Struthio camelus: one gene and its partner. The protein of the gene in region 1 purifies or fractionates together with the protein of each later gene. This does not show direct contact. Links are inferred from orthologs where the notes say so. Each region holds a gene or a part of one and is shown in the gene's direction. Other genes may lie near its edges.

Region 1 (9,048 bases):
CCGACTTCATAAGAGACTATTCATTATCATTAAGGCAGAAAGAATTTACAGCACAAGTAAGAAATTAAGTAGACTGAATGATAATCATAAATATTTACATAGAAGCTATGAAAGCTATTGGGACTTTTGACTGTTCCTAAAGTCTATATCCTCACTGTGATATAAGATCTACCTTAACTGCTCACCCGATTAATAGACTGGCAGTCCAATTTCCAGCTCAGTATCTGACAAATATTTGTATCCCACACTATGGGGCCCTTGCTCCACAGTTATACGCACTAATCCTAGGACACAAGCACACACTAACAAGCTTAGAATATCTTCAACTGCTCTTCTGAATTGGGATAAAATTAAGAAGTAGCGAAGTGCTCTCCTGAACTAGAGCCTTAATCACCAACTGATTTAAACTGCATTTTTAGTACTCTATATAATATTCCTAAGAACAAGTTGGACTCCAAAATTTGAGAATCATTGTAATGAAAAATAACTGACCTCATTTGGGTAATTTCTCATTGTAAATAGCATGGTCTGTTATGTCTGTATTGACTTTTCTCTCCTGTTCACTGTTTATTAACACTCATGATGACATGATTATATTTGGTGGAAAATTGAGGGAGAGAATGCCAAAACAGTGGAAAAGTTTCATTTCCATTTTTCCTGAAAATATCATTTTCCTCAAAAATTTCTGAACAAACGTAACTGTATCTGAGATTTTAAAACTCTGTTTATCTGCTGAAATGTGTTGCCTGAAGAAAATAAAACAAAAATGAAGTTGGCATGGTTCAATTTCTTTAAGGATTTTATTATCAAGCACTTCAATCTGAGATTTTAAAACTCTGTTTTTCTAGAAACCAGCAGTGTACATTTAGATTAGGATTTAAGAGTCCAGAATCTTTCTTATTTTGTTCCCCTAACACAATGATTTTTGTTTTGATTATTCCCATTGCACAAATAGAACTCACAAATCTAGCTAGATTTTATTCAGTTTTTGTGTGTTAATGACAATCATCTGCAAAACTCTGATCAGATTCTAGGATGTACATATATTACTGTGTCCTAACTTTCAGTCAATAGAATTGGTCAATGCATGTTTTTTGAAGGCCTGGATTGGATTTATATTGTGTAAAGAGCTTGTAGCAACGCTGCCATTGCATTTTTTTTTGAATGATGCAGTGTCAATTTTATAGCATCTTTGCAAAGCTATATTGGTTTTCCCATGAAAAATACATCTTCTTCTTACTCTGGTAGAATGTTCTTCACATTTACAGTTCTGCAGAAACAATAAAAATAATGTTGGTCTGTCTCTTGTGATGCAGTTAGATGATGTCAGTAAAGGTAGACTTGGGAATTAGATATATTTTAAATGATAACGTTTTCTTTAGAATGGGACACGAGGCAGTTTGAGACTGTTCATTGTCGGCTGGGTAGGAAATTGGACTATTAGCATGCTTCGCTGCCCTCTAGGTGATGAATATTTAGCTAAATAATTTTCTGGTATTTGGCAGTGCTCAAAAGGGGTATATGGAGATTGGATTTGAAATAGTCTAGATACACTGGAGAGCAGGAAGCCAGTGTTATTGCAATGAATTTTACAAACCACAATTCTTTTCGCTGATGAATCATCTTCTAAGTCTACTGAATCTGTCTTTTTGCTTTGCAATCCCTATCAAATATTTTGTCAAGTGGATTTTGTAAGGACAGTCAAACATAATGTCAATACCTATGTCATATTCATATTCTGAAAGCTGGTGTTTTCTGAAACATTTACTTGGAGAGAAAGATTTATATCTGACAAACGTATAGTACACAGCATAGACCTGAAGCCAGATTCCACACTACGGTTTGCCAGCTTAAACAAACAGTTTCTTGTAATTTGGGACAAGGTATATTTGTGGAAATAATTTGCCATAAAATATAAAAGTCTAAATTTAAAGTATTGTTTTTGAAATTGATAATCTAGAATAGTAATCACTATTAATCACTATCAATAGTAATCACTAACAGTGATTTGCCTATAAACCTCCATTTTTTGACATACTATCTAGCAATGTTCATTACTAAATAAATCGTATAATTGCATTTAATTGGAAAATAGCTCTTTATTTCTGCATCTGTGTGATAATAATATGTCTTCCTTTATTTTGCTATACGAGTTACTGGGACAAGCCCTTTATGGAAAACACCAATGAGCAATTATACCTGTGAAACACACATTTTCTCTTTACATATAATATATTGGGGCAATACAAGTACTTTAGTTCCATGACATTTGTTGGGCATGCAGTATCTATATGTGATGGTATCACAAGTGATTTCCAATAACATTTACACCATAAATGCTGCCGTTTTATGTATGTTCCTCACATCTCACAAAAACTATTTAATGAGTATTAGAAGAATGTTGTAAACCTTTATTTAATCTTATAATTTATGACCCTGCCTTTAAATACATGTCATTAAATTATTATAAGTCCCAGTGTGTGTTTCTAAGAGGAAAGTATACAAATCTGTAAAGAGGATTCTGGATAAAATTGGAGCTGGAAATCCAGAGAACAGTTGTAAATGGTATGCTCAGTGAACTAAAGAATGAAGGGAAAAAGGGGATAAGGTAGCAGTTGAAGGTATGAACGCATCTTTTTGAGATAGGAAAGACAGTCAGTTTTGGTTCTAAGGCAAAGAGGAGGAGACAATTAGAGTTTAAGAGGAAACAAGAAAACCTGAGAGCACATGAGGGAAATCAGAAGAGGAAGAATCATTGGGGCAAACAGAATAGGAGGAGACAGGGAAAGAAATGTCTCCATTTCCACTGAAGAGAAAAGGCTGAAGAAGAAAAAAGGAAGGTAAAACCTAGGAAAAAATATTTGATTTATTAAAAAGTGTTTTTAAAAGGAAAAAAGGAAGGGAAAGTCGGGGACTGTAAGCAAGCCTTCTTCCCTGCTCTTCAGCTTTCCCCTGTGAGTTTGAGGGCAGGGAAGGGGAAGAATTTTCATCAAGAAATTGCCAAATCAGTGGTGGAGGAAAAGGCAGTGGATGGTCTGAGTGACTGAGTCTGAAGAAATTGGGGAGTGTTGGAGATGTGATACGAAACACTACCCTCACACATCCATTCCTACCTGGCAGGGAAGATAGCCCTCCAGAGCATCAGGTTTTACTTTTGACTTGCTGGAACTGAAACAGGTGCTGTTGTGGCCCCATCTCCAGAAGCATGGTGGTACCAAAGGAGTCCCCACTCATACCACCCTCGCTGTGGTAACATGAGAGTGGATTCGGTTAAGGTACAGCAGAGTGATTTTGCTAGCTAGATATCAGAAATAAAGGCCAAGCAGTGAGACGTGTGGGGAAGCAGATTGATGTGCGATATGGAGAAAGCCCAAATGCTTGTATCAGAAAAAAGGGGTCAGTAAAGAAACATTGGAGACAGTATTTGTTGCTGAAGAACAAATTGAGAAAACATTCCTTTTGTGCCTGATCTAAACCACAGTTGATAAAACGAATAAATACTATCAGATAAACATATAGCTAAAAAGCTGGCTTGTCATCAAAGTAGCTGTAGTTCAAAGCTTTAGAGTTTTAAAAGATTAGGAGTACATTGTTCTTTAAGTTGATGAGAGTATATGTTTAATTTCATTTTACCCCACAGAAATCCCCAGTGCATATAGATGCATAGCTGTGTATACATGGTTAGCATTGCTAACATGGTTAGGATTGCTAACCATGTTATCCAGCCAAGTAAGTATTTTGCTAATTTTGATACCAACAACATAGTTACAATGTAGTTATACACTTTCCTATTGGTTCCTGTCCTTCCCTACTATTCACAGTTTCATATACCTTTAAACCGTTATCCTCATAATCATTTAGACCCGGACTGTCGCTCACACAAGCTGCAGAGCGGTAGGGTTTGGAGTGAAACCATGACACAGTAGTGTGGGAGGGAGAATAATCTCTGTGGGGTTCTAGTAACAACTTTCCAAAACTGCTGGAGGCATGCAAGTAAATTAACAGACCTTTGGGCCCAGTCCCTGCTGTGCCTGTCAGCTTGGAAGGGAAAGTAGTGTCTATCAACTGTAGAACCGGCACAGAATACATTCCCTCTGGATCACTGACAAAAATAGACCATTTGTGATTACTACAACAGGACCCCAATCTACTCCTATAGAGGTGCTTTTATAAGCTGGTCCATTTCAAAGCTTTTATGGCTGGTAGAAGAACATCACCCTTATTTTGCTGGTTATTTTCCAATCCCTATTCTTCCCTTCCCCTCCCTAGCCTAAAACTCATTTACCAGCTTAGACACTTAATTGTAGTGCCGATCCCTTCAATTGCTTAATATTCCCTCTATCAAGCTAGGCGTCAAGTTTCGGTGAACCAAAACCACCGTCATCATGTCTTTTGGCAGACATACGAGTAAAGCCTTATACCCTGAGACAGCGTGGCTCTTTTGATCATAGTAACATTATAGGGCTTATATGATTATTGGAAATAACAGTTTAACTTTTAACCTATAAGCCTTGTTTTAATTGAACTTGATCACGAAAACTGAAACCTAGTTATTTACCATCTTGTTTCAAGCTTAACATTGAAGTTTATAGTCTATTTTGACTCCTAAATCAATAATGATATATTCTTACTGGTGAGTTAGATATTTCTCAAACCATACAAAGAGAGTGAAAGGTTGCCAATGTTTCCAAGATTGGGAATTTTAAAATGTAATGCTATATTCTTTGTGCAGCAACAGAAATGGGCTCAAACATCCAGCATGCCTCTAGAGGATGTAATAAAAACGGGACAGTACCAGTGACACCTGACTTACCAGGCTTGACTCATATTTAAGACCTCACCGATGAATTAGTGCCACCTACTGCATGCTTTTGAAAGTAGCATCAACCGCCAACAATACCCTTACTATATTCCTCTACGAGGAACGCTTGCATGCTTTGAATATTGCAGAACCACAGAATGGCCAAGGTTGGAAGGGACCTCTGGAGATCATCTAGTCCAACCCCCCCCTGCTCAAGCAGGGTCCTCTAGAGCACGTTGCACAGGATCGCGTCCAGGTGCGTTTTGAATATCTCCAGGGAAGGAGACGCCACAATATTCATGAATTACGAATTTTCTCGCTATATAATTGAATGCTCTTCAAGAAAAATCGTAGAAAGTTCAGAAGATAAGGTTCAGTATGAAAAAAAAAAAAAGCAAAAGATTTTCCCGGGGGCAACGTACAGTGCTGCAAATTAAGCACTGCATCCTAGAAAGCGTTGTATCATTTTTAAGAAATGATAGCGTTGGAGCCTCTTGTTCCTAAGACGCTGCCTGGCGCTTTTAACATAACATAGAGGTTATAAAATAAACACTGTTGACATATTTTAAATACTTTTCGGTCTCTGCTTTGCTTGTGCTGAATGGAGGGGATACGTCTACTTTCCGAGATCTCTCTCAGCCCAGAGAAAATTGCTCCTTCCCCCACCCCTCCCAGAGGACGGGAACAGCGTTTTCCTCTCTGCTGAAACACCTGAGAAGGGGCAGGAGAGGGGTTCTTCGCTCCTTAAAGCGGTTTCAGGTTCTTCGTCGTCGTCCCCCAACCCCTTTCTTTCGGCGCTGGAAAGAGCCGAGTGCGAGAGAAGACCGGCCCTAGGTGACCTCGCTTCCCCACACCCCCTCCCCGCGGCCGTTACAGCCCGCGCGGCCGTTGGGCGCGAGCGCGGCCCGGCGCGAGTCCCGCGCACGCTGCCAAGGTCTGCCCGGCCAGGGGAAAGCACCAAGCTGGAAAGGGGCCCAGGGAATGGTTACAGGGACCCAGCAAGTAGCGCGGCCACCAGCTCTGCCGCCGCGGTGACGTTGAAGACGAACAAAGGCGTAGCTCGGCCGTTAGCGCCCATCACCCGCTTTAAACCTCCCGCCCGCCAATCGCGGCGCCGGCAGTCGCGCTGCTGATTCGCCGCTACACTTTCCAGGCGCCGCGGTTTGGGGGGGGGGAGGGGGTGTTGGGTGGTCGCGGCCTCGTTGTGTCCCCTTTCGGGCCGCTACTGAGGACGGCCACCGGCCGGCTGCGCCCCGTTTCCTCGGGTCCGCTGCTGGGTTAGTGCCTCCCTCGGCCGCGGAGGCGAATCTGCCGGGCTCGTCCTACCGCTAGCGCAGTTTGGGCGGTTGTCAGGGAGAAACAAGATGGCGGCCGCAGCGGCGGAGGAGGACACAGAGCTGCGGGACCTGCTGGTGCAGACGCTGGAGAGCAGCGGGGTGCTCAATAAAATTAAGGTGGGGGAAGGAGAGCCTCGCGTTGGCGCGCGCACCTCGCGAAGCGCAGAGCGGGGAAGAGCCCTGGCTGGCGCCAGCGGCAGTTAACGACCGCGCACGGGGGGAGGGGCCGGGCCGGGGCTCCGTCCCCTCTCCCTGGCGCGTCTTAGCCGGTGTTCCCGGCCGGGCCCTGTGCCGGCGCCGTGGCCTGGCGGGGGCGTCTGCCGCTCCCCGGCTGCTCTGCCTAGGGCTCGGCGAGGAGCCGGGTCCAGCGCCTGTCTTGCGAAGTGGAGCTGGTACGTGCTCGCCGCGGGCCCGGGCGGGAGGCCTGACCGCGGCTTGACGTCTGCCTGGCGGCCGCAGCGTTAACGAAAGCGCCGAGGTGGGGAGAGGGAGGGCAGCCCGCGGCCGCCGCAGGGATCCCGGCGTCTTGAGTGGGCGCTTTCGGGCCCGCAGACACGCTGTGGTCGCAAGAGCTCTATTGTTGCTTCTCTCCTGCTGCTGCTAAAGCCGCTGCAAACGTTCAGCGGCCGGGTCGTGTTGGATGGTGTGGACAAGGTTTCTCTCTGATTCGACCGAAAAATCGCCATTGAAAATTTAAAGCAGGAATCGTTGAGGGTTGCTGCTTATACACGGCATCTTTTGAGTTCGGGTGAGCTTAAGCTGCGTCTTGAAGGCCTAATAAACAAGGGAAGTGCCGAGGGATGCTGCTAGCTGCACGGCACAAATACTGCTATGTTAAGAAGTTATGCGGAGGACAGTGTTTAGTGGGGTGTAAGGTTTTCTCCATTGTAATTGCTTCCATGTCTGTAATGTAGCCTGGGCTGACATCCTGTCAGCAAGGATATGAAAACTGGTTCTAAGGGTTCTTCTTCAAGTTAGAAGCTTCCAGCAATAACTATTGTGCATAGCAAAGAGCCATACAGTTATCACAGCATATGAGCTGTTGGACCATCTTCTAAGCCAGGAGAGAAATGAAGTTTGAGTTTCAAATCACAGATGGTGATATTTTTTCCCTGCAAAGTACTACAAGTATTTCCAGAGGTAGATGATCACTGACACTTCAGGATCAGTTTAATGACTGAAACAATTGATGGAATTAAGAGTATCTGTGTGTGTATACAAAGAAAATAAAAAGTCACTTCCTTTAAAGTCCATTGGATATTTGGCTTCCAATGGATTCCATAGTGTTCAATAACACGGTGTTACTGAAATTGTTGCTCCTGCAGTTTTGGAAGAGTAGTCCTTATTTAAATTTCATAAGTAGATGAAGATCCCAGTTCATGTAACTATGTTTTGAGTAGGGAAAGCTTTTTCTAGATAAGTATCAAATAGGCCTTTTGGACCACCCATTAACCTCTTGTGTCATATTAACTAAAAAAAATAGTGAAAATAATAGCAACAATTAAAAAAAACCACAAGTCCGTTAGGTCGTTTGGAGTATATAAACTGTAGTTTCTTAATTCCAGTCTTTGTGTAGTATACAAGTTATTGTACTGCACTTGCCAGTTTGCTGAGTTTCATGTAAATATGTTTATTGTAATCTTCGCTATGCTATAATGCTAAAGTTGTAGTATCCAGTATGGCTCAATTTATCCTTAACGCAAAATAGCAAACAACTTAGAAAAATGCAGACTGCATCCTATTTACCAGTATATTGCTCTTCTTAATACTGGGAGTTATTGCCTTGTAAGTGGTATGCTTATGGCTAAGGCCATGCATTCTGCAAATTAATAGGATTTCTTCTTAGTTGTAAATCTTAACTGCCACACTAGTTTGGCTATCTGTTGATTGTTAGTATGAGTAACTCATGGAATTTGTTTTGTTTGGCACTTGAAAATAGTCCTTTGTCTTCCAGAAGAGTCCAGAGTAAACTGGTCTCCTTAAAAGGTTGGCTTCTAATTTAAATTAGATTATACCATGCATAAAAAATGGACATCGTGCTTTCATTAAATTAAACATATTTGTGCTCAGTACTGTTTCCTTAACTATTGCAAATGTGTCAGTATATTTTATTATGTGGGAGAACTGTGAGAAAATGAACAATTGCTTTGCTACTATGTAAATTGTATACACCAAAATGAGCACTGCTCATCTTCCAAGATGGGTGAGGCTAGAAAGTAAATTATAGCGATGTGTCTGAGACTTGTTAGAATAGACACATTAGAAAACAAATTATATTGCTGAAAGTATGGCTTCATTGGTGTGAAGAAAACTCTGGTAAAACAAGTAAAGAAAGCTCTGGAAGGATTAGAATTAGAATGTACAAGGCTGTCAAAATTTACATATGGGAACATATAACAATTACTTTATCAGTCATTATAAAAGAAGAGAACTTTGGTGACACCTTTGTCCTTCAGTATACAACATGATTGTACAATGGGTTACAGTTTTAGGTTTTTTTTTTTGAGGTTAATTTCTTGGGCATATTGGTTTTGATGTAAATTGTTTAGCTGGAAAATAGTAATAATAAAAAATCTTAGTTACCTTGTAGACAAGTCCCAAACAGATTTTTAAACTGTCATACTTACCTTGGGCTTTGAGCACAGGAGAGTTTAATAAAGTAATACATTTACACAACTTCCAGTTTTCACAATGTTTGCCGCGTCTAGTTGAAACATTTCCTATTTTTAGAGTGCAGATCAGACTGCTTCCTTTTGAATATCATAAGAATGCTCATCTAAAATATAATTCTATATATTTGTACTTCATTGAAAACTTTTACTGATACTGCACGTGTGATGCATTCCGTACAATTACAGAAGACGTTCTCTCTTGAAGAGCATGTGAGCCTTCTCTGGCCTAGGGAAGCTG
Region 2 (9,072 bases), on another chromosome or scaffold:
AAGAACTGCATTTATTTGGCCTATATCCATCTCAAAACTTCTAAACCAAAGAATATTCACCCTTAGGCTCTCAGCATATATTTTTTCTCCCTAGTTCCTAAGTATGTTACACTTCCATCTTGGCCAGCTTTCTCTTTTCGTTTTCCTCCAAGTCATCCAAAGCATATCTCATTACCCCTGTTTCCATTTCCAGCTCCAATTTCGTATTTCAAGAGTTTTTTTGTGCAATTAGCTATTATCAGAACCACTTTTTAATTTATACCAACTTTCTTATCTCTTTGGATCTTGCAGTGTACCCTACTGTGAAAATTTACAAACCATGACTCATTTTTAAACTTAATTTGCCTTTGGACTGCCCTGTGTTAGACACTGAGATTTTGCAGTGTGTTTTACCTGTTCTGTGTGTGTTAAAGTGCCACATCCTGTTATGGTATAATGGAAATAAGAAATAATACTGTGCACCTGTGCAACTTCCAAGAAAAACATGATAAAACCATCTAATGATGACACAATGAAATAATTATTTCCTCCTTGCTTTAAGCAAAGGTTTGCTGGCTGTACCGCTGCATCTTTGCTTCAGAAACATTGCCACCTAGCAACAAAGTATCTTCTCAGGCTTCTGGATAAAATCTATAAAGAACTGCCCTAGCAGCAGCTCTTAGATCATTTTCAAATAATTTTGGAAATTTTGTTTTTGTCCTTTCGCCACTTAGCATTCAATGCCAGCTGGCTTTCTGCAGAACAGGGGAAAAACTGCTAACTATTTAGTTTTGGAAGCAGACTTAAAAAGGCAAAATACAGAAGTTTAAAAAAAAAAAAAAGGCAAACTGCCAAATTGTTCCTTCAAGGCATAGTATGCAGTGAGGGATAATGCTGAAGAACATCAGCCAAGTAGGATACCTTCCAGAGATATTGTCCTCATGAAGCCAAGAGAAAAGAGTTGCTGCCCACCCATGGACAAAGTAAAATGCAGAGACCCATTTTTTTTTCTCCATGCTGTCTCTAAAAAAGCTAATGCTGGATATGGTGTGAGACTGACAAATGCCTGTAGGGTTAAATCAAATAAAAAAATTGGAATTAGTATACATTTTTTTAAAGAAACGTTTGAGCATGTGGCCTAGAAAGATATTGGAAAGCAACAGAGAGAGCAAGAATTAGTTCAACAAATTCAGCAAGTGGATGACTGGTGAAGAAGCCATCATTTGCCAAAGTGACAGAGAGAATTAGGTCTCTTTGGGAACTGTTTTCTTAGAGCAGAGACATCTGGTAGCTCACCGAATCATTTCTTATTTTTGAAGACAAAAAAAAAAAAAAAAGAACATCAGTGGGAACTGTATCTAACTGGAAAAGCAAGTAATGGTGATAATCACAATTATAAAATATAGGACATCTTACACAGAAATAAGAAATCTAGCCAAAGAGAAAATGCAAAGCACTGCAGTAAAAATTCCAAGCCTTAATGCTCTAATGAAACAAAATTAACTAAATAGCTTTCGCAACGAGGTCAGAATGTTGTCGGAAGTGCTACGCTGGCAATTACAGAGCACGAATAAAGGAAATACAGCAAAATGGCCTAATCCATGCACTAATTACCCTAAAATACATGTTTTTACAAGCCTATATTACAGGCTTTAAAATGTTTAAATATTACTTAACCGTATGAATAGTTATAAGAATAAAAAAAAAGAGTCCTTATGGCTCGGTGAATTGGGCTCCTACATACCCAAACAAGGAGATGCAAGAAATACAGGAAAACTTTTAAAAAATCCATTGTATTAGAGATTACTATTACTTCTGGACAGTAAATGAAAACCATCAGTTTCTTGTCAATCACAGACAGAGTATGCAAAAATTCATCTAGTATCTTGAATCAGCATTTTTCAGGCTCAAATGTGGCAAACTTTAATGCTCTAATACATTTGTTTACTTTCTCTCTTCTATTTGTTCTTTCTACATTTACTGCATGAGATAAGCATAACTATGCAGAACTCTCTGATCGCAAAAGACTCTGGAATATTTTTGAATGACAGGAAGATAATATGGTTAGTTTTATTGTTTGCAAGCCGAGAGATATTGCAGAACACCCAGCCCACATATTACTGTGGTTCAGATTGAAGTGGTCAAGGCTTGCCCAGGACTTCTTTTTCTGGGCATCTAGAAGTGTTCTTGAATGACAATATTTTTATTAAATATTTTACTAAATTATCAGCGGCCCAAGCCATTATGCTCTTCCCAGAGCATACAGTAGGCCATAAGATTACTTCAGCTTGTAAGGCTGTGAAAAACCCATAGATGAAAGATTGGGATCCAGAATGAGACGTCAGCTGTAGATTCATCATTACACACATTGCTACTGTCTAGTGGTTAAAACCTGCATTTAGAATTCACATTAGATTCACATACACAGGAGTACTTTTGATAATTTTTCAGCCTCCAGCCCTTCTGGCAGATCTGTGCCATGTGTACCAAAAATGGAATTTTCAAAAAAGATGTAAAAAAACTTAAAATTTAGATGCACAAGTAGAATGCAAAGCAAAAATGAATGAATCAAATGCTGAGAAAAAAGTAACTTTCACTCAGCACTAATTTGAAAGAAAAAGAGTTTGGTAGGGAGAAACTTGGAACAGGTTCTTTGCAATATTATGAATTTTAGCTTGCAGATGTCTCTATTTACTGACAAGATGAATCCCCTTTTGGTTATAGCTTTACAATGATATATGCAGCCTGCAGTTTTAGAGATCTAGTGTGATTGTTCTAAGGCTACATCCAATGAAGAACGCGGAGAATAATTTTGACATGCTGCAAAATAAGAAGAGCTATATTAACAGTCTAATCATTCTTGAGCTTGCTTTCATTTCAGGCTTTTTCTTGGTGCACAACACATGACTAATCAATAGCATACAGAAAGGAGCTCTTTTTGCTCCATTTACATGGCAATGGTAGTGTGGCTGTGATTCAAAATTCATCTTGAAATGCTAGTCTTTACAGTTGACAGGAAATTGACAACAAAACGCATGGCTGGAGAGTCTCCAGAATATAATGTCTGTCTCTCTAGGAATCTTCAGAGATGCTTTCTATTTTTAACAGCTTAAAATGCATAGAATTCTGAGTTATTATTTCTGAAATATCAGAGCAAGTATTTAATTTCCCGAATATAATGGGGAAATGCCTAAAAATTTCACTCATAAGTGATTTTAAAAGATGTGGCTATCAGTTCACACCTTTGATTTGTAGATGTAAGAATTTAACTGCCACCCTATACAAGCGCAAAATTCTGACTAAGTGAAAAGACTGTCAAGAGAAACGAGATGAATGAAGGAATTTAAAGAAATACAAAAGTGATTAAGGGCATATTAATCAAAGAGAAAAATTAAAATGCTATGTGGACTAGCAGTGAAGATGTATCACAGCTCTGCTTGTTAAAAAGTGATTTAACTGAATAGTGCAAACATCAAATCTTGTAAGTAAGTAAAGTTGCTTGAGAGGATTTACGTTTGATTTTGCTTGAATTTAGCCCATGGCATCCAGTGGTATGACATGCAGTGGAGATACTTTTGTCACACAGTCTCTAGTCAAGAAATCAACAACTGCTGTTGACACTTGGTTGATTATTGCCCTGTGCATTGTGTATCTTTTCTGTTTGGTTTGCAAAACGTCACAGTGAAACAATTTGCTGTATAGCTGGTGGCCTCAGACCTACTGAAATAATTCTTGTTCTGGCACACCTGATCATAGCACTTAGGCTGCTTCAGTTACTTCTGGTGGCAGTCGAAGATTATGAAGCATGTGTGATTCTGCTGTTATTAAGCTATGTTAATATGAAGATTATTTGACACACAGTGAACATACAGTATTCTACCCAAGTTCGAGGGTCCTTAACCTGTTTAATTACTGTGTACTCAGCTTTAGAGTTTAACTCTCCTGTTTATAAGCAGACTAAAAGCATAACTTGTTAAATAAGCCAATTGCTCTTACTCATCAATTTATAGTAATCATTTTCATGAGTAGTTGGCATTCCTATGCATGAATGAATTGCAAACTCTAGGATCAATGCACAGGCTATGTCTGCGTCACTTTGCCTTAAAGGGCGCACCTGATAACACACCGCTGAATGTTAATGAGAACCCTGAAACCTGAAGTCAGATCTATCTGAGCTAGCAAACGAATGAGGAAGGTAAGCTGCGGAGGAGGAGGAGGAGGAGGAGGAGGAGGAAGAGGAGGAGGAGGAGGAGGAATCTGTGTGCTCTCAGCCAGCTGGGACCAGCTGACTGCAGCTACTGCTGTGAATCAAAGTGCGGCAGCACTTACGGAGCTAGTCATCTGTGCAGCGTGGTCTTTAGATGCTGAAGTGATGCACAGCGCGCTTAAAGATGTATTAAAAGACAGCATTATGTAAATGTGCTTTCTCATTGCCCTGCAATAAGCCTCTTTAGGAAAGAGAAACAGTAGTTTCTGTTTGGCTGCGAAATTTCTCTCTAAAACCTCTGCCAGATGCCCCTTGTCCAGCTTCCTGCGGTGGTCTAAAAACACGTTATGTCCACGCGGAGAGGGGAGGAAAGAAATATGACTAAAAGAGCTAAACCTGTCCTGTACGCTCGTCAGGTGCCAGCGTGCCCGGGGTGCAAGGCAGAAGGCCACCCCAAGGGCTGGGGGCTGCAAGGCCTGGGGACGAGCCGGTCCCGGGGGGGCCAGCTCGTCGCTGTGGCTGAAGCGGAGCAGGCCAGGAGAGCCGCGGCAGCGGCCCCGAGGCGAGGCGAGGCGAGGCGGCAGCAGCCCGCCGACCCGCCTCCACCCCCGCAGCTAAGGGAGCGGGCCGGGCCGGGCGCAGGGGAGGCCGCGCCCCCGCGCGCCGTAACGGTTGCAGCGCAGGGGGGAGGGAAGCGCTTCGGCGGGGCGGGGCGAGGCGGCCGTTGGGCGCGGCCATTTTGAACGTACGAAGGCGGGCGGCTGGCCGGGGGAGATGGCCCGCTTGCTCTGGGGTGGCAGCCAATAGCAGCGCCAGCCCCCAGCGCCACGTGGGCGGCGACGGTTGGGATCCCAGGGAAACCGCCTCACGCGGAGCAGCGCTTCAGCGCCCGGCGGCGGAGGAGGAGAAGGTGGTGGTGGTGGTGGAGGCTCCCTCGAGGCTCGCCGGCGGGCTCGGGCGGAGGCGCGCTTCAGGGGCTGGCGGGCTGCGGTTGGGGCGCGGTGGCCAGCGGAGGAGCCAGGGAGAAGGGTGACTCCTGAGCGATCGGGGCTGTGCTGGACGCGGCCGCGATGGGGGGCTGGCGGCCCGGCGAGGCGGGAGCGCGCGCAGGGGGTGTACTGGGGAGGAGGGGAAGGGACAATCTCCCCCCCCACCCCGTCTCTTCTCTTGCAGCTCCGTGCTTGGCAGCGAGCAACGCGGTCCCCAGCGCATGCTGGTTTGATAGTGTGCTTTGTTAGGGAAGCAGAGCACTGAAGTAGTTGGCTGGGTTGGCTCTGAGTGGGTGCGGCGATATAAAATACTATATTTTTCCAAGTATAAAGAGAGTTGTTTATTTGCATGTGTTTAGTGGATACTGCTTATGCTTGTATGTAGTGCTTGTACAGGTCAAATAAAAAGTATGTTTCACCCCTGCAGGTCAGGAGGTGTTTGAGGAAGTGTGTAAGCAGAGGGGAAACGTGTAATAGTGCTTCACGGAATATGTCCCTGTCTTGCAGCTCAGGCTTTAGGGTAGAGTCGTTGTCTCTGTGGTCAGTAGTCTTGTATGGATTTTTTTTCCTAACCTATTGCCTACCTGTTTTTTTGGGGGGAGGGGAGGGGGAATCCCTATGAACTCCTAGCTTTCTGAAAACTAGCATGCAGTTGAGTTTCCCAGTTTTGCCATGTGCTCTGTTTCTCCTCAGTCTGCTACCTGCTAGTTTCATCTGATGCTCCTTTGCCTCTGTATTGAAAGAGATAGCAGATAAAGTTCTTCCCTGAATGTTCTCTAAGCCAGTCGCGATTTTGTACGATTTTGTCATTCCCACTAACTTCCATGCTGAAGAGCCTTAATTTATGTAGTTATTTCTGAGATGGAAGTTATTATGTGTCTCTGAGTTTGTCCCCTCTTCTTTTCTACCCTCAAGTGTGCTAAACTTGAATGCTAGGGCCAGGCATAAAGTATGCAAAAGCAATAAGGGAAACACTTGTTTTATTTTATATTACGAGAATTCAGACTTTTGATTGCAGCAGTGGAAAAGCTGACAAGTAGTTCTGAAGATGTAAATGGTGTTTCGAAGAGACCTTAATATTCCTTGGTGCTGGGTCAGGGAGTGGGCTTTTAAGTAGCCTGCAGACACTATACGTTAAAAAATTAAATTTTAAGAGGAAAGTCTTTACACTAGTTAGTCCTGGAACATTGGACATGTTCCCCCATACTCTTGGAGGTGTACTTTTGTTGAGGAGAACAAAAATGTAGCGTTTCTTTTTCTTACCCATTCAGCTGTACTTCCACGTTCAACCTCAGCATTACTTGCCGTGTTGGAGACACTGAGTTGCACGGCTATACTCGTGCATTCTCATGTTTTGAGTATGCGTGTTGAATTGAGATTATGTCACTAAATCAGTTGCATATGGGAAAAATTTGATATATTTTTTCCTCCCTCATTTTAGAGAGGCTTTTATCACCTGTGAGAAATGATTGACTCGGTCAAAGTAAGAAGACAGTGCCTGCTGGATTTCTACTCTCATTATGAGCATCTGTGTGCTGTTCAAGGCTCTGTCCCACTGAAAGCTGTGAAAGCCAATCTGAACCAGGGTGCTCTCGATCTAACTGTAGATCGCATCAAAGCTGCTGACTGGGCACCGCTTCTAAATGCTGTCAGGCATAATAAGACGCTGACTTCTATTGCAGTAAGAAGTTTTCATCAGCAGGGTCTCGGAGAATCAGGTTTGTATTGATGGCTCTAGATGATAATTATGTTGATGTACGTTAAAGCTCTTTGTATAAATCTTGTGAGTGATTGAATGCATGAAGGGGGAGAGTTGTAATAGCTAAGGAATTCTTTCTGTTTAAGAACAGCGGCAAAAAAGAGGTATGTTTTTGATAGCTGTCAAGTCAATATGGACTGGATGTTACTGCTCTTCATTTCTGTTGTTTACTAGGTGTTGAAAGGTATAGAACTTACTTCAGAAGGAGAATTCCTGCAATTCGATCAAAAGACTTGACTGGTCAACTATGCAAAGCTGTCAAAGGCTGTCTGAGTATATCAGATGTACTAAAAAACTTGGAACTGCAGGGGTTGCTTCTGAGAGAGAGAGATCTAATACTTTTAACAAAGGTGAGAATGCGCTGGTATACAATTATTAAACGAAACCTAGGATTAGAACCTAGGGAAGTAGGAAATCATTTTATGTGTAGTTGTCACAGCTGGGGATGTGCCTGTTTTGAAATACATCTTTGTGTTCTTCTGTGTGAGAACCATTCTGCTGAGACACTTGGTATAACCTAGTGTTTAACCAAAATCATGTAACTTTCTCTTGCCCTAATTTGTCAAGGAGCAGAACCCTTATGGGAGGGTTCTTTCAGCATCCCTACTGCATGTCTGAGGTGTAGAACTTATGCCTGTGACTGACCCTGCTGTGCACGGTCATGACAGAAGAAAAGCTGCCGAGCTCCAGTAAGACAGCGTGCTTTGGAGAGCTGCTTCCGTTGGAGCTACTGCAGTGTGCTCATTAGTGGCTTCTAGGAAGCGAGGTGGCTGCTTGTTTCTTGCAGGCTCAGGCCCCTCCTGTGCTAAACAAAGCAGCTTCCTCACAGCTTTAGGCCCTTCTGCATCTGTCCAGGAGCATTAAGTGTTTGTGCTGAGCAATTTGGATGTCTTGATCTTTTCTCTATTTGTACGTTGTTGTTGCTTTTCAAGCCATTTTAAAAACATAAATATATATATATTTTTTATTATTTTACAGGGGTTGGCCAAAACTTCATCTCTGGAGAGCGTCTCCCTAGCCCACTGTCCAATTGGAGATGGAGGGTTAGAAAGTAAGTTAGTTTCAAAATAAAAGAAAAATAACTGGTCTTGTGAGGTGACTGGTAAAGGCATAAACATACTTCTGCCCTCCTTTTTAAAGCTTTCAATAGGTAAAACTAAGCTTTTCAGTATTTACATTCTCGTTTTAAATTTATTCACGCTGATTAAAAATAACCATCTTTATTTTATTTTACATGGCTTTACAGTATTTAAAAACTTGAATGTTTACCTGATGCTAGAAAACAGACTTACTAGTTAACGTTGATTAGACTTTTATTTAAAACAAAGTAATCTTTTTAAGTTTGAAATGAGTTTTTTCTTGATTTGCTCATGTTTACACAAGTAAAATAAAACAAAACATGTTCTACCTTGTTCAAACAGTCTTTGCTAAATACTTACTCCAGAAATATTTAATCTTTTGAAATTACAGAGGTTAAATGTATTAAGTTTATTTTAAATGTATAAGTTTATTTTGTTTTTCAACACTAGTTCTGTGTCAAAGGGTTTACCTATTAAAGCTAACTCAGCTTCTTAATGCAGCGGTGAGAAAATGTGTTTGTTCTGATGGTCTGGCTGTTTTGTGCCTGTACATAACAAATACTTTTGTTGTCTTTAGTAATCTGTCAGAGTGTGAAGAATTCTGCTAGTATCAGATGCATAAATTTCACAGGATGTAGCCTTACCTGGCGAGGGGCAGAACATATGGCAAATGTTTTAAAGGTAATTTAACCAGAAATGTTAACAAGAAGTTAAATAACTAAAAACATGATTGCTAGGTTTGGCTTGTAAACAAATACAGCTTTTCTGTAATAACAAAAGCAATACTTTACCCTATACTGTTTTTGATGTGACATCTCTTAAGGGAAAGGACAGGCTCTGACATAGCTACAGTAACCGTCTCCTTGCCGCTTCTCCGCTTCCCCTGAATTTCTGAAATGCCTCAATGTTCCTGGATTCCAGAAAATTATATTTTCATTGTGAGAATCCTCTTTAACATGAATGTTAAATGCTGAGCTGATTTTAATATAATATTTTTCATAAGGCTCAAAGTGAACATTCAGTTAAGACTATTAAGACTATATTGTTTGATATTGCAGC

What was found.
Region 2: the proteins of CEP43 (region 1) and centrosomal protein of 78 kDa purify together in Homo sapiens (affinity purification with mass spectrometry; 3 studies listed by BioGRID and IntAct, with this or other methods). This does not show direct contact. The link is inferred for Struthio camelus from reciprocal best matches to the Homo sapiens genes CEP43 and CEP78.

Annotation. Positions count from the first base shown.
Region 1 is NC_090944.1:88,809,447-88,818,494, forward strand, and holds the start of CEP43 (centrosomal protein 43), read left to right. Parts: upstream 1-5,510; 5' UTR 5,511-6,165; coding exon 6,166-6,255; intron 6,256-9,048. UniProt on the Homo sapiens protein: Required for anchoring microtubules to the centrosomes. Required for ciliation.
Region 2 is NC_090982.1:29,120,940-29,130,011, forward strand, and holds the start of centrosomal protein of 78 kDa, read left to right. Parts: upstream 1-4,937; 5' UTR 4,938-5,108; intron 5,109-5,514; exon of another isoform or gene 5,515-5,715; intron 5,716-6,616; 5' UTR 6,617-6,640; coding exon 6,641-6,893; intron 6,894-7,108; coding exon 7,109-7,284; intron 7,285-7,912; coding exon 7,913-7,985; intron 7,986-8,590; coding exon 8,591-8,694; intron 8,695-9,072. UniProt on the Homo sapiens protein: Centriole wall protein that localizes to mature centrioles and regulates centriole and cilia biogenesis. Involved in centrosome duplication: required for efficient PLK4 centrosomal localization and PLK4-induced overduplication of centrioles.